Rattus norvegicus: one gene and its partners. The protein of the gene in region 1 binds, or shares a complex with, the protein of each later gene. Links are inferred from orthologs where the notes say so. Each region holds a gene or a part of one and is shown in the gene's direction. Other genes may lie near its edges.

Evidence for each region.
Region 2: the proteins of Ddn (region 1) and Wwc1 are in contact, whole or in part, in a crystal structure (PDB 6J69), measured with the Mus musculus proteins. The link is inferred for Rattus norvegicus from reciprocal best matches to the Homo sapiens genes DDN and WWC1. Residues at the interface, in NP_001013763.1 of Mus musculus: Tyr227, Val228, Ala229, Pro230, Pro231, Ser232, Tyr233, His237, Arg238, Thr239; in NP_740749.1 of Mus musculus: Glu13, Glu14, Ala15, Arg16, Asp17, Tyr23, Ile25, Asp26, His27, Arg30, Thr31, Thr32, Ser33, Trp34.
Region 3: the proteins of Ddn (region 1) and Magi2 are in contact, whole or in part, in a crystal structure (PDB 6KKG), measured with the Mus musculus proteins. The link is inferred for Rattus norvegicus from reciprocal best matches to the Homo sapiens genes DDN and MAGI2. Residues at the interface, in NP_001013763.1 of Mus musculus: Asp222, Arg223, Pro224, Pro225, Pro226, Tyr227, Val228, Ala229, Pro230, Pro231, Ser232, Tyr233, His237, Arg238, Thr239, Leu240, Gly241; in NP_001164217.1 of Mus musculus: Glu308, Met309, Ala310, Tyr311, Thr312, Glu313, Gly315, Tyr318, Ile320, Asp321, His322, Lys325, Thr326, Thr327, Ser328, Trp329, Asp358, Tyr361, Tyr364, Val366, Asp367, His368, Arg371, Arg372, Thr373, Gln374, Phe375.

The regions. Positions count from the first base shown.
Region 1 is NC_086025.1:131,833,272-131,837,994, reverse strand, and holds the start of Ddn (dendrin), read left to right. Parts: upstream 1-1,742; 5' UTR 1,743-1,890; coding exon 1,891-1,937; intron 1,938-2,345; coding exon 2,346-4,260; 3' UTR 4,261-4,723. UniProt on the Homo sapiens protein: Promotes apoptosis of kidney glomerular podocytes. Podocytes are highly specialized cells essential to the ultrafiltration of blood, resulting in the extraction of urine and the retention of protein.
Region 2 is NC_086028.1:20,839,818-20,843,762, reverse strand, and holds part of Wwc1 (protein KIBRA), read left to right. Parts: intron 1-1,397; coding exon 1,398-1,487; intron 1,488-2,808; coding exon 2,809-3,347; intron 3,348-3,945. UniProt on the Homo sapiens protein: Regulator of the Hippo signaling pathway, also known as the Salvador-Warts-Hippo (SWH) pathway.
Region 3 is NC_086022.1:16,759,021-16,763,557, reverse strand, and holds the start of Magi2 (membrane-associated guanylate kinase, WW and PDZ domain-containing protein 2), read left to right. Parts: upstream 1-1,422; 5' UTR 1,423-1,557; coding exon 1,558-1,858; intron 1,859-4,537. Other genes in the region: uncharacterized protein 4921504A21Rikl, read right to left, coding at 383-962. UniProt on the Homo sapiens protein: Seems to act as a scaffold molecule at synaptic junctions by assembling neurotransmitter receptors and cell adhesion proteins. Plays a role in nerve growth factor (NGF)-induced recruitment of RAPGEF2 to late endosomes and neurite outgrowth.

The DNA.
Region 1 (4,723 bases):
AGTGCCTGCAAGCCATCTTCAGGGCAGCCGGTAGGTGCATGGAATCATGGGTCTGAGGGCAGGGGAAGGGGTCAGGGGAGGGGGCCAGGGGAGGTCAGGTTCTACCTTGCTGTTTCTCAATGAGTGTGCACTATAACAACTCTTTTGGTCCCTGTCCCCTTAGAAAGAAGGCTCTGTATCCAAATGTTCCATGCATTTTTATGGAAAACCAACTGTGATCTTTTGTCTCTCCCATTTACCCCCCAAGAACCCCAACAAGTCTCAGCCCAAGGAAGCAGCTGAAGGAGACCAGGGATACAATGTGGAAGCTCACAGGCTTCTGATCTTAAAGTCAGGAGCAGCAAATGCAAGTGGTCCCTTCTTCCTCAGGAGCCATTGCCACCCTCTCAGCCCGCTCCCTGCACCCCTCCCCTCCACTGAGCTGCTGCTACGGTTGCCAGGCATGGTTGCTAAGTCTCTGCATGGAAGGGTTGGCGTGGGCTGTGCTGCCACTAACATTACCATGGTGAATCAGGGGACACCTGGTACAGGCTTAGGGGGAGGGATGCTGAGGGTGCAAGCAGCACCCCACCCCAAGAATAGGGTGAGCCCAAAAGGTGAGCTGCATATCAGGGCAGTCAAATGAACTAGGCATGGCGACAGTCGTGAGTGGAAGCCCCAATTTAGGAGAGAAAGGCCACTTTTATCTTTTCTGTTGCTAGGGGATTTGGCTGTGTCACAAGAGCACACTAGTCCATCCGCCTCTGTTAGGGTACAAGTGTATATAAGCACTCTATCTGCACTCCACATAAGGCTTGGTAGAGCTGTGTGGGCACAGAACTGTGTAACCCTAGAATCCTGGCTTCTGGGTTAGGGGAGCTAGCCTGCTGCTCATGGAAGGCTCTGTGGGTGTCCAAGGACACCCATATCTAGAGTGGGAGTTGCCCTGCTGCTTGATACCAGGATAGACTGAGTTCTGCCTCAGCAGAGAAAGCTGAGGAGTACAGGTGCACCTTTCTGAGATCTTGGGGGAGCAGCTGTCCCCCAAAGTCGCACAAAAGCTTCCCGAAAGCGGTGCCTCTTCTCTGCACTGCTTAGGAACTGGTTACTCATCTCAGCTGCACCCGAATGCCACCGAAACTAAAAATAGCCCGCTCCCCCCAGCTGTGGGCCGGTCTCTCTTGCACCCCAACCCCATGGAAAGCAGCAGCGAGTGGCAGGCATAGACCTTGAGTTCTGTTCTCACCACTCCCTGTCAAGAGAAAGGAGTCCAGGCGAGCAGGCAGGCAGGCAGTCAGAGATAGAGCACTGGTGGTTAGGCAACCTGACAAACAGGAAAGCAAAGGGTTAAAACTTCGGGAAGGATGAAGAAATGGGGGCTGGGGGAGAGGGCATCGAAAGCTTGGCAAGAATCCGAAGTCTCTCCCCACCCACTCGCGGGTCCCATTAGGCTTGGGGGACCTGAGCAGTGAGTGGGAAGGGGCGTCCAATCCCAGGCCCCAGGGGGCGGCCGTGCACATGGGGGGAGGAAGCAGCGCGGAGCCGTCCACGGCGGCGTGTCACATGCGCGCGCGCTCGCGCGCTCGCACACACACTCACACACACACAGACAGGCACACACGTGTGCCCGGGTATATATAGTTGCCAGTCCCTGGGCCTGCCGCTCTGCAGTGGGCGCCGGCTCCCTGGGTTGGGAGGGGGCTCACGGGGCGGGTGGGAGGGTGGGGGGCCGGGGTGGGGTGGGGCAGGATGCTGGATGGCCCGTTATTCTCCGAGGGGCCCGACAGCCCCCGGGAGCTCCAGGATGAGGAGTCCGGCAGCTGCCTCTGGGTGCAGAAGTCCAAGCTGTTGGTGATTGAAGTGAAGACTATTTCCTGTCATTATAGCCGTCGCGCTGCTTCTCGACAGTCCATGGACATCCAGGCCAGCTACTGGGCCCGTGGGCCCCAGAACCGCACGTGAGTGAAGGAGGGGTGAGGGGCAGCAAGTGGTGGGGCGGGAAGTGGGGTCCAGACCTCCCCCCCGCTGGCACCAGCGATTGCTGCTGGCCCCTTCTCTTTCCCGCGTCTCCCTCCCCCACTCGTCGAGGACTGGGGCCTGACTCATTGAGCGCTGTTTGGGGGGACAGGAGTGGTGCTAGTGGCAGGCGGTGAGATGGGGCAGTCGCTGTTAAAGTGTGCACGGAGAGATGGTGAGGAGTCTCATTTCGACTTCAGCCCTAACACATACGCACGTGCACTCGCTCAGACACTCACACGAACCCTCCCACATGGCTGCCCCAAGTGGTCTCCAGTGCTCCCAGCTCCCCGGACCTCGGCTCCTTGTCCCCGCAAACTGCTCACCTGGGTTCCTGCTCATTGTCCCAGGTGTAGGCTGCGCCCCGGATCCCCTGAGCCGCCACCCCGCCGACCCTGGGCCTCCAGGGTGCTGCAGGAGGCGACCAACTGGCGGGCAGGGCCCCCCGCCGAGGTCCGAGCCCGAGAACAGGAGAAAAGAAAGGCGGCGTCGCAGGAGCGGGAGGCCAAGGAGACCGAGAGAAAAAGGCGCAAGGCTGGCGGGGCCCGACGGAGTCCCCTAGGTCAGCCCCGCCCAGAGCTCCGGAACGCCCTTCGGGCGGCCCAACCTACAGGGTTTCCAGTTTTCTCCAGACCAGAGCGCTTCGGGCAGGTGGGGCGAGCGCCCCGACCATCCGCGCTCCCGCAGGGTGACCCAGGGGTTGCATGGGCGGGGCCATGGGGAGGCAGAAGGCCAGGGCCTCCTAGCTACGAGGCTCACCTGCTGCTGAGAGGCGCTGCAGGCACAGCCCCAAGACGCCGCTGGGACCGGCCGCCACCCTACGTGGCTCCACCTTCTTATGAAGGTCCCCACAGGACCCTGGGGACTAAGCGAGGCCCGGAGCTCTCCCGGGCGCCCACCTCATCAGCCCCAGTGCCAGCTACCACCAGGACAGAGGGAGGGCGCACGAAGAAGAGGCTGGATCCTCGAATCTACCGGGATGTTCTAGGAGCTTGGGGTCTCAGACAGGGACGGGGACTCTTAGGAGGAGCTCCAGGCTGTGCAGCAGCCAGAGCTAGGCCAGAGTCTTGCAAAGGGGCTGTAGAGAAAAGTTCAGGCCTAGCTGCTGCTGGCCTAAACAGTGGTGGTGATGGTCATTCCCAAGCCAAAACTACTGGTCCAGTCACGGAGGTCGCTCTCTCTGGGTCCACGATCAGTAGCCCACCACGTCCTGTTCCCAGGTCTAGGCAGCACCTCAGGGGATCAAGGAAAGGGAAAGAAGGAAGTGAGGAGATGTGGCTTCCCACGTGTTGGCTTTCCTCCCCTAAAAAGCCTCCAGTTAGGCATAGCCAGACCCTCCCCAGACCCTGGGCTCCTGGAGGCACCGGGTGGAAAGAGTCCCTGGGTCAAAGAGAGGGGACAGAGCATGAGACCCTGGAAGTCTGGAAGGTGACCCGCCGTGCCCACACCCTGCCCCGCAGTTCCCGAGGTCCCGCTGGTAGAGAAGGCATCTTTGTCATTGATGCCACATGCGTGGTGATAAAGTCCCAGTACGTTCCAACCCCTCGAACCCAGCAGAGGCAGCTCGCGCCCTCTGGGGAGTCATGCATCGTGAGCGACAGCCTCAGGCAACCCAAACCCTGCCTTGAGGAGGAGGGCAAAGGGGCCGCTGCCAACCCTTCAGTTTGCCAAAAGCGACTGTTGAGCAGTCGAGTCTTAAACCCACCGAGTGAGGGTCGCGAGTTCGAGGCTGAGGGCAGACAGCAGGGGGATTCTTCATTGGAGGAGCGCTCCTCCAGCGGTTTGGGGTTCCCTGTCGGCGAAGTGAACCCGCGAGATGCCCCCACGCATCCAGGTAGCCCAGAGCACTCGACCTTAGGCCCAGCGGCTCCGGGATGCGCGGGCAGCGTGAAGGGCCCAGAAGCAGCTGGGGTCCCGCGGCGCGCGGGCGGGGGCTGGGCGCGGACTCCAGGGCCCTACGCCGGAGCCTTGCGGGAAGCCGTGTCCCGCATCCGCCGCCACACCGCCCCAGATTCGGACTCAGACGAAGCCGAGGATCTCAGCGCCCATAGTGGCTCCTCTGATGGAAGCGACACAGACGCCCCAGGCGCCTCCTGGCGGAATGAGAGGACCCTGCCTGCGGTTGGGAACACCCGGCCCAGGGAAGGCGGGAAGACAGCAGAGCTGGGCGACAGTATCGGGGAGATTCTAGATGTCATCAGTCAAACCGAGGAAGGCCTCGTCCGAGAGGACACCAGGAAAACGCCACAGGGAAAGAGAGAGTGAGAGTGAGCGACGCCCCTCCTTGTCCTCGTGTCGCTCGGCCCAGCCAGCCTTGGGCTCACCGCGCTCCTTTCCTCTCTCCAGGCTTCGTTTGCTTCCTTTTCTTCTTTCCTACCTGTACCTGTTCCCTTGAGACAGAGGAGAGGGGAGGAACGAGGGAACTGACTCAAGAGTCAGTTTCAGGGAAAGAGAGGGTGGGATCCCACACCTGCTACATTCGGTGTGGAACTGTTCAGAGAGGCAAAGTGAAGGGCAGGGCAGGGTCCCTGGCAGGAGAGGAAAAGTAACGGAGAGGCTTTTGAACCTAGTGACCTAGTGCAGGAGACAGAGGGCTTTTAGCAGAGAAGAAATGAATGCAGAATGCATACACTCAACCAGCAAATTGGCAAGAGGGCTCTCCTAGATGTTACAACTCAAGTTTCAATTCCAACTCTGCCACTGACTTAGCTGGTGGATCTCAGAGTGA
Region 2 (3,945 bases), on another chromosome or scaffold:
CTGAGGCCACTCTGGTCTCATATGCTATGCTAGAGGTCTGGCTGTTATGGTAGAGAGATGGCGTGGTTTGGTTTGAGTGAGTGTGTGTGTGTGTGTGTGTGTGTGTGTGTGTGTGTGTGTGTGTAAACCAGCCCTTGCCCTCTGGCCACAGGCTGGGCTGGCTGAGTTCTTGGTCCCTTCCTGAGTCCAGGGAGCGAGGGTCATTCAGTTGCTTCTCCAGCAGGGTGACAGAGAGGAGCAGTGAGTCACCTTGACGTGGAAATTTATCATCCAGACCCCCCGGCAGAGTGAATGATCTCAGCCTCTTCATCTAGGAAAAGAGAACCCTTCCTTCCCGACTCCTTTCTGTCTAGTGAGCCACTTCGATTTCTCTTATTAGTTTGATCCAATTGCTGTAAGCAACAGCCCCAAACCTCTGTGGATAAGCTCTCTTGAAGTTTATTTCTTACCCATACAATATCTTAGGCGGCCTCCCTTGTTGTTGAAGAGGCCACAGCTTGCCCACCTCCCCTTTAAGGCCACAGAGACTGAGGAACACTTTCCTTGACCACTTCAGTCTGATACACACGGTTTCTGCTTATATCCCATTGGCCAGAGCTTGCTCACGTGCCTCAGCCAGATGTTAGGGAGCCCGGGAAAGTGATCTAGCTTTGATCCTGGGAACCCAGGAAGACACAACCAAGGGTAGGTGCCAGAAATACGATCATGAAGCCATTTTCTCATTCTCAATTAGGGATTCCTTTCTCTGCTTTTGATTTTTTTCGTTTTGTTTGTTTGTTCGTTTGTTTGTTTGTTTGTTTTCGGACCTCGTTAGCACCGCGCTCTAATTAGACGCCTGTTGTCTTCCACCCTCCATGTTCTGTAAGAGAAGCAATGAGTTCTGTCCCTCGCCGCTCTGTCCCTGGTGCTGGAAACAGCATCCAGTGTCACCTGGGTAAACATTAGTTGGTGAAAGGAAGGAGGGAGGGAAGGGAGGGGGTAGCAGCTGAAGCAGGAGAAGGAAAGAATGGTAGTTTGGTGGAATCCTAATTCTTCCACTAATTCCATAGTTTTGAGTAAACTATGTAACTAAGAGCCTCAAATTTTCTCATTTTGTAAAGCTGTTAAAATCATTCTCCCCAGGCACATATCAATACATCCTACATCGGTGCCATGTGTTCGGTTCCTAGCTTAGTCTCTAAGGTGTCGCAGGTGGCTGCACACTTACTATAGAATTTGTGTATAAAGAGCTTCTGCCTCTCCACAGCACTGTGGTACGTTTCTACCCAGTTCCTGTGCCTGCACCCTTGGCCTGGTGCCTTTAAGGGCCTGGGCCTTATTCTCTTTTCCGGAGATCGCAGGAGGAGCTGGAGCATTGCATCCCTTTGGAGCTGATTGTCTTACCTCCTCTCCCTCAGGTTGAAGTTAAACAGCAAGAGGAACCAGCTGGTGCGAGAACTGGAGGAAGCCACGCGGCAGGTGGCCGCCCTGCACTCTCAGTTGAAAAGGTGAGTGGTGGGCGGTGACCATCCCCGTGGGGAAGGCCCAGTTCCACACTGCCATTCGTACAAGTTCCATACAAGCCATTCCTCCGTGGCTTGAGGAAAGACATTTAGAAGCATAGAAGGTTGTCATTCTAGCTGATACAGGCTTGGCTAGGGTGGCCGGCCACAGGGTGCTTCATCCCGTGGGACTCTACAAACAGAGACAGCCCCTGGGAGATGCCCGTTGGGTCTGCCTTCTAGCCCACGTTTACAGCATGTAGTAGGTTTTTCCGTAAGCTCAGGCCTTGATGGTTGAAGTATATGACTGGAACTTCATAGTAGCATTAAAAGCACCCCGCCTCTCATCCCCAACAAAAGTGGTTTCTTCCTGTTTATACCAATAAATAACCTTTCGATGGTCATTTATGATGTTAGATCTCCTTTTAAGTTAAATATTTTATCATTTTTTTTAAAAAGTGAATTACATTCTAGTATGGTATTGGTATCCCATATCTTTAATCCCAGCACTTGGGAGGTAGAGGCAGGCTGCTCTCTGAGGCCAGCCTGGTCCACATAGCAAGTTCCAGGACAGCCAGAACTACACAGAGAGAGGCCCTATAACAAAAAAACAAAACAAAAAATTTTGGGAAAAAAAAAGTGACTAGAGCAGAGTGTGAAGGGGTGCACTTGTAATCCCAGCATTTAGCAGGTGGGAGGAGAATCGGGGAGACTGGAAGTTCAAGGCCAGCCTCAGGTCTGTATGTGCCCCCTACCCCCACCTCCAAAAAAAAGGAAAGAAAAAGAAAAAAATGGGAGTCGATTTCAAGAAAGGTACTAAGTGTGGCAGATGTCTTTAATCCCAGGGGCACTCAGGAGGCAGAGGCAGGCCTTATCTCTGTGAGTTCAAGACCATCCTGGTCTACATATCAAGTCTTAGGCCTGCCAGAGCGGCACAGTCAGATCCTATCTCAGTCAACCGATCCAAGGAAACAAGCAAAAGAAATGTTTTAATAAAGATGCAGTGTGGCCAATAAGAAACAAAGATAGAAGAGGAGAAAAGTGGGATCCGGGTGTGGGGTTTCCAGGTGTATGATCTCAGGACTCAGAGCATCAGGAGTTTAAGGCTAGCCTGAGCTACTAAGCAAGAGGCTCACGGGTACCTGCTCTGCTACTCTGGGCCCCCAGCTCTCTCTAGATCTCTATTTTCTCCTCAGTGAAACTGGGTGCATGGTCCAGCTTAGGCTGTCAAGTGGGCTGGGAAGATGATGTTCATGACTCCCAAGCCCGGTGGAGTCCCCAGTGTTCTCCTTACTCCATGTTACCTTTTCCCTTTCCCTGTCCCCAGCCTCTCCAGCAGTATGCAATCACTGTCTTCAGGCAGTAGCCCTGGGTCACTTACGTCCAGCCGGGGCTCCCTGGCTGCCTCTAGCCTGGACTCCTCCACCTCAGCCAGCTTCACTGACCTCTATTACGACCCGTTCGAGCAGCTGGACTCAGAGCTCCCGAGCAAAGTAGAACTGCTGTTCCTGGAGGGTGCCACAGGCTTCCGGCCCTCAGGCTGCATCACCACCATCCACGAGGATGAGGTGGCCAAGACTCAGAAGGCAGAGGGAGGCAGCCGCCTGCAGGCCCTGCGCTCCCTATCCGGCACTCCAAGATCCATGACCTCCCTGTCTCCACGCTCATCTCTCTCCTCCCCGTCCCCTCCCTGTTCCCCTCTCATCGCTGACCCCCTCCTGGCTGGAGATGCCTTTCTGACCCCTCTGGAGTTTGAAGACACAGAGCTGAGCCCCACTCTTTGTGAGCTGAGCCTCGGCACCGATGGCGCCCGGGAAAGATTCCGGCTGGAGGAACCAGGACCCGAGGGCAAACCACTGGGCCAGGGTAAGGAGCACAGTGCCCTTATGGGGAACCAGAAAGCGGGGGATTCCTGCCGTAGTTCCTGACTGTGGATGGCTGGGTCTTTATGGGGTTGGTAGATCCTGACAAAGGTAGAATGTGCTAGGTCCCTGGGCTAGGGTTTTGTTTTGTGGTGGATTTCACTCAACAGATATTTAGCGCCTACTAAAATGAATCCAGATCCTGGCTGGGCTAATTGAGTATGAATGGATTAATTCATCTAAGCTCTCCGTTGATATGGCAAATGTAGCCGCTGGAGGGGTCAGTGTTGACAACAGACAAGGGCCGCCCCCTCCCCCGCTGCCGCAAAGCTTGGGTTCAGCGGGAGGGAGCCACGGGGGCGTTAGAAATGTACCAGGCAAAGGCATGGGAAGGGGATAACAGCGATGTGTGGTGGAGCCTTTCGGTGGAGTTGAGGCAGCCAGGTCAGAATGGATTGAGGCTTAAATGATGAGGGGGAGGGGGGGAGGGGGAAGGGCGGTGAGAGTAAGAGGGTGTAGCAGCAATTCAACTATGACCCCGGCATTTAGGGGGAAGAGGCGTAAAGACCAGGAGTGCAAAGTCATTCTCCACTATATAGCCG
Region 3 (4,537 bases), on another chromosome or scaffold:
CTCAAAAAGCACCACTCAGGGTTTCCCTGGAGAAATCAGCGGCCCTCAGCTTCCTGTGCCTTGCTTAGTTTTCCACCTGGCTCTAAGAAGGGGAAGGAGCTAGATGGGGGTACAGCGAGCTGAGTTCATGCTCCATCACCAGCCTTCTTTCCCTTCCTGTAGCAGAGGTTGTTTGTCTGATTAAACTAAGGCTTGACTCCTGTCCAGATTAAACTCTCCATGTCTATGTCCAGTCTCTTACACCAGTTATCTCCTTAACACCTCCCCCACCGCCCCTTTCCAGTTTTCAACTCGGGCAGGTGCCCTCTACCCAGTCTCCACTCAATCCTCTTCAGTTTCTTCCCAGGGGACACATGGCCCTGCTCTGCAGATGTTATTTCACCTTCTTCTTGCAGCCAGGACGACCAGACTCGTTCCTCTAACTTTCCTCTATCAGAGGGCCACTTCTGAGAACTTTGCGAGGAACGTAAAGACTGTAAAAGTGGAGCGAGCCAACAGTGAAGTCTCTCTCCACCGGCTCCGGCTGGGCTGCCAGGCCCTCTGCAGTTCCACTCTAGGACTCCGAACTCCAGCTTCCTCGCGTTGGGATGGAGCCCCAGAAGACTGGAGGCGCTGCAGATGGGCCACCCGGCACCGGGCTTGCCCTCGGGTCCCCGGATTTCTGCTTTGTCCCTGCTGGGGTGTGAGCAAGTCCGGGCGTCCTGCAGGCGAGCAGCCCGGCTCGCAGGGAAGCTATAGACAGGTCCACCCAAGGATCCAGGCTCTTCTCGCCGGCCTGCCCACGCCGGGCCTCCGCTCCCCTCCTTCCCGGCTCCCGCCTCCTCCCGAAGGCTGCGGGGCGGCCCGGGGCCTGCCTCTCCCCGCGCCTTCACTACCGGGTCAAGCCGCGGAGGGAGGGAAACCGCGGCGAAGCCCTCCCTGGCGCTCCACCCGGTGCGCGCGCCTCCTCCCTCCGCTCGCATCCCCTATCCCCCCCCCCACCCGAACCCCCCTCTGCCGCCCGCTTACATCCTGCCAGTACAGTACAACTAGTACACAGGCTCACACGCGCACACGCGCACACACACGCGTTCCCTACCGCTGCCACTGCAGCTGCCATGGATATCGGCTAACAACACAGAGGCCGGCGAGCGCGCGCGCGCTCCCCACTCGCAGCACGCAGGAGTGGCCCCCGGCATCCCTACCCTCCTCCCCACCCCCACGCCACCCGCTCACCAGCTCGGCCACTGCTCGCGCTGGCTCGGCCGCCGCCACCGCCGCTAACGCCGCCAACGCCACCACAGCTTCCTCCGCTGCGGGGCCAAAGCCTTGAGTGTCATTCAAGGGACAGCACAACCTCACCCAAGCTCTCCTACCTCTGCCCAGCCGTCCCTCTCATCCTCCCCCTTCCTCCGCCACACTCCATCCAAAGAAGAGGGAAAGCGCGGAGCAGAGGGAGAGAAAGGCAAAGTCTGCCACCCTCTTCCCTTGGCCCCCTTGCTCCTCCATCCCGATTTTGACTCCCAGACCCTCCTTCCCAACGGACCCTCAGGAACTGAGGAGACTCACCCTACTGCCATGTCCAAAAGCTTGAAAAAGAAAAGCCACTGGACTAGCAAAGTCCACGAGAGTGTCATTGGCAGAAACCCGGAGGGCCAGCTGGGCTTTGAACTGAAGGGGGGCGCCGAAAACGGACAGTTCCCCTACCTGGGGGAGGTGAAGCCGGGCAAGGTGGCCTATGAAAGCGGCAGCAAGTTGGTGTCCGAGGAGCTGCTGCTGGAGGTGAACGAGACCCCCGTGGCGGGGCTCACCATCAGGGATGTTCTGGCCGTGATCAAACACTGCAAGGACCCCCTCCGGCTCAAGTGTGTCAAGCAAGGTGAGCGCAGCTTGCTCGGTGCTCTGCCGGGTGGTGGGACCCCGGCGTGGGGAGGGCATCAATAGGGTGGGCGCGGGGGTTGGATGGGTGAATGCTGCGCCACCGCGGGGTGGGGTCCAGAGAGCATCCTAACTGTGTTCGGAGCAATAGTGGGACGGGGGCAGGGGGACTGGTAGGCTGGCTGAGCCAGGTGGCAGTGTAGCAGGCAACTTAGTTTGCCTAGTTGGACCCTCCCCTTTGGAAGATGCTTGGCCTTGTCCGACCTCCTCTGAGCTCCAGGGCCAAATAGAATGTGCGTCAGTGGCATGCCCACAGTGGACATAGAGCTTTCGGGGAAGGAAAAAAAGCCAGGGGTGAGGAAGAAAGGAAGATGGAGCAACTTGAGGTGCAGAGGTGTCACTAGGGAGGTTGGGAAAAGCTCTGAATATTGGGGCAAGTGGAGAATGCTTGCAGTATATCCAAAAGTAGTCTGGAGACACCTTGGTCAGTAGCGGTTCCCTAGGGACCCCTGAGCCACTGGCTGACAAGGAAGGAAATGAATAAATTGGTTTGGACGCTCTGACCAGTGTTCAGTAACTTTTTCCCTGCTTCACTCCTTTCTCCCCCGCCCATGGTCTTGTCATGTGGGCACCGGGAGTCACGTGCAGACTGACTAACCCTAGAGATCCCTCTGGCCAGCAGGCAGGAGGAGGGGCAGAGATTAATGCTAGGAGCTGGGAGAGCTAGTTTGTAGTGTTGGTGGGGAGGCAGACTGCAGCAATCAAGCGTTCCCCCGAAGTGCTCTTCATTGACTGGGATTTTCTTCTTGACTAGGATTTCTCTGTGGTTGGGCTCTCCTCTAGCTTCAGACCCGGGGGCATGTTTGTAGCACGGAGGTGGATGGAGAGGCAAGTTGGTCACAGCTCAGGCTCCCTGTGTATAACTTGGCTTTGATGAGCTTCTTTCAGGGCTGGGAAGTGAATTTAGAGAGATTGGAATCTTGCTGAACAATGAATGTCTTGGCTTGAAATAAAAATTGTGGCCCTGAGGGAGGAAAGCCTGAGATAAAAGTTTCATTAGAAGAGACTTTATTTTACAAATGTAGCATGTCTTTGTGTTCCTCTGGTGGTAATGCAGTTTCCTGGGTGGCACAGGTGGAGAGGACAGATGTGTCTCACTCATACCAGCGTTATTGGTATGACAGTTTGTTGTCTATTGTTACTCTGTCTTGCGCCAGTGTTGAAATTCTGAGTATCACTGTATTCTGAATTGCTATTCATGCTGCGATCCATTATGAAGAAATACCACAGAGCAGTTGTGGATTTTTTTTCCAGCATAAAACAAAACAAAACAAAACAAAACAAAAACTTTCGAAGTAAACGACCTAGAAGAAAGGTTGATAAACTTCCCCAAAGCTAAGCTGTCACGGAGGAAAACATCTTCAGTGGAATTTCTGGAGTGTTCATCCTCTATCATTTTAGATCATCTAACGCAAACGTGCGGTATTGTGTGACACCGAAGAAGATGGGTCAGATATTAGAGTAACCTCCAGTTGTGACATACTTTGAACTCACATTCAGAAAGTTGTGCTCATGCATTTTATGTTAACAGAGTGGATCATAGCAAATAACAAATGCAGAGTTCAAGGTTAGAGGCCAAGAAATCTACCACAATTGACCATCGACCGTTATTTGGTGGCAAAAATACTGGTATTTGCAAAGGAAAGCAACGGCAAAAGTTAATGTTTATACTTATTTGTTTATGGGTTGATGGTTTATGGATGGATGAATGGATGGATGGGATGGAGGGTGGATATGCCCATTGTGTGATATGGAAATGAGAAAACAGCCCTTGCCAATCAGTTCTCCTCTAATGTTCTGGGGGTCAGAGATGGGAAATTAGCCTTGGTGAGAAGCTTTTCCTGAGATGAGCCTCACCAGCCCAAGTTAACACACTTCCACAGTGATTTTTTTCCTTGTGGTTTCCACTGACCATTTTATTTCTGCATTTTACTCTGATGTCTACATCTTGAGATAGACTTTGCCCAACTCTAACACTCGTAAACGATAAATGTTTATTAGTATTAATGTAATTAATGATTAAAAGAAAATATCTGGTACTAGCCACTTAGCAATTGACATCCAGAGAGACAATGAAAGAGTGAAGGCACAAAAGTTGTGCACATAGGGAATCTTAGATAAGAAATGGGATTTTTTTTTTGCCTATTCTGTGATAAATGATAAAACTAGGGCGAATTTGGCAAGTCTTTCCCTTGGGGAAGCAGAATCTTTAGCAGAGCAGAGCTGTGAGCAATGTTGTAAGATGAGGTTTCCCTTATTCTGGATCTTGGCAAAGAAGCAGAAAGATCCACAGAGGTCCATCTCCATCCAGCCTTGATTTTAGCTAAAGTTGGTCCTGATCAATTAGCTTCTTGCTTATATTTTGTTTGGAAAAATATAACTGTTTAGATTCAGGAAACTTATTTTTATGGACTGAGGTATTTAGGTGAAAACCTTTTCACAGTATATGTTAACCCTTAGTCTGTCAGCATCCAGGTGTCCAATAATAGACATTCATCTACTGAATTCAAACAGATATAGATTAAATAATTAATAGCTTTTGGGAGGTTGGGGATTTAGCTCAGTGGTAGAGCGCTTGCCTAGCAAGCACAAGGCCCTGTGTTCAGTCCCCAGCTCCGGA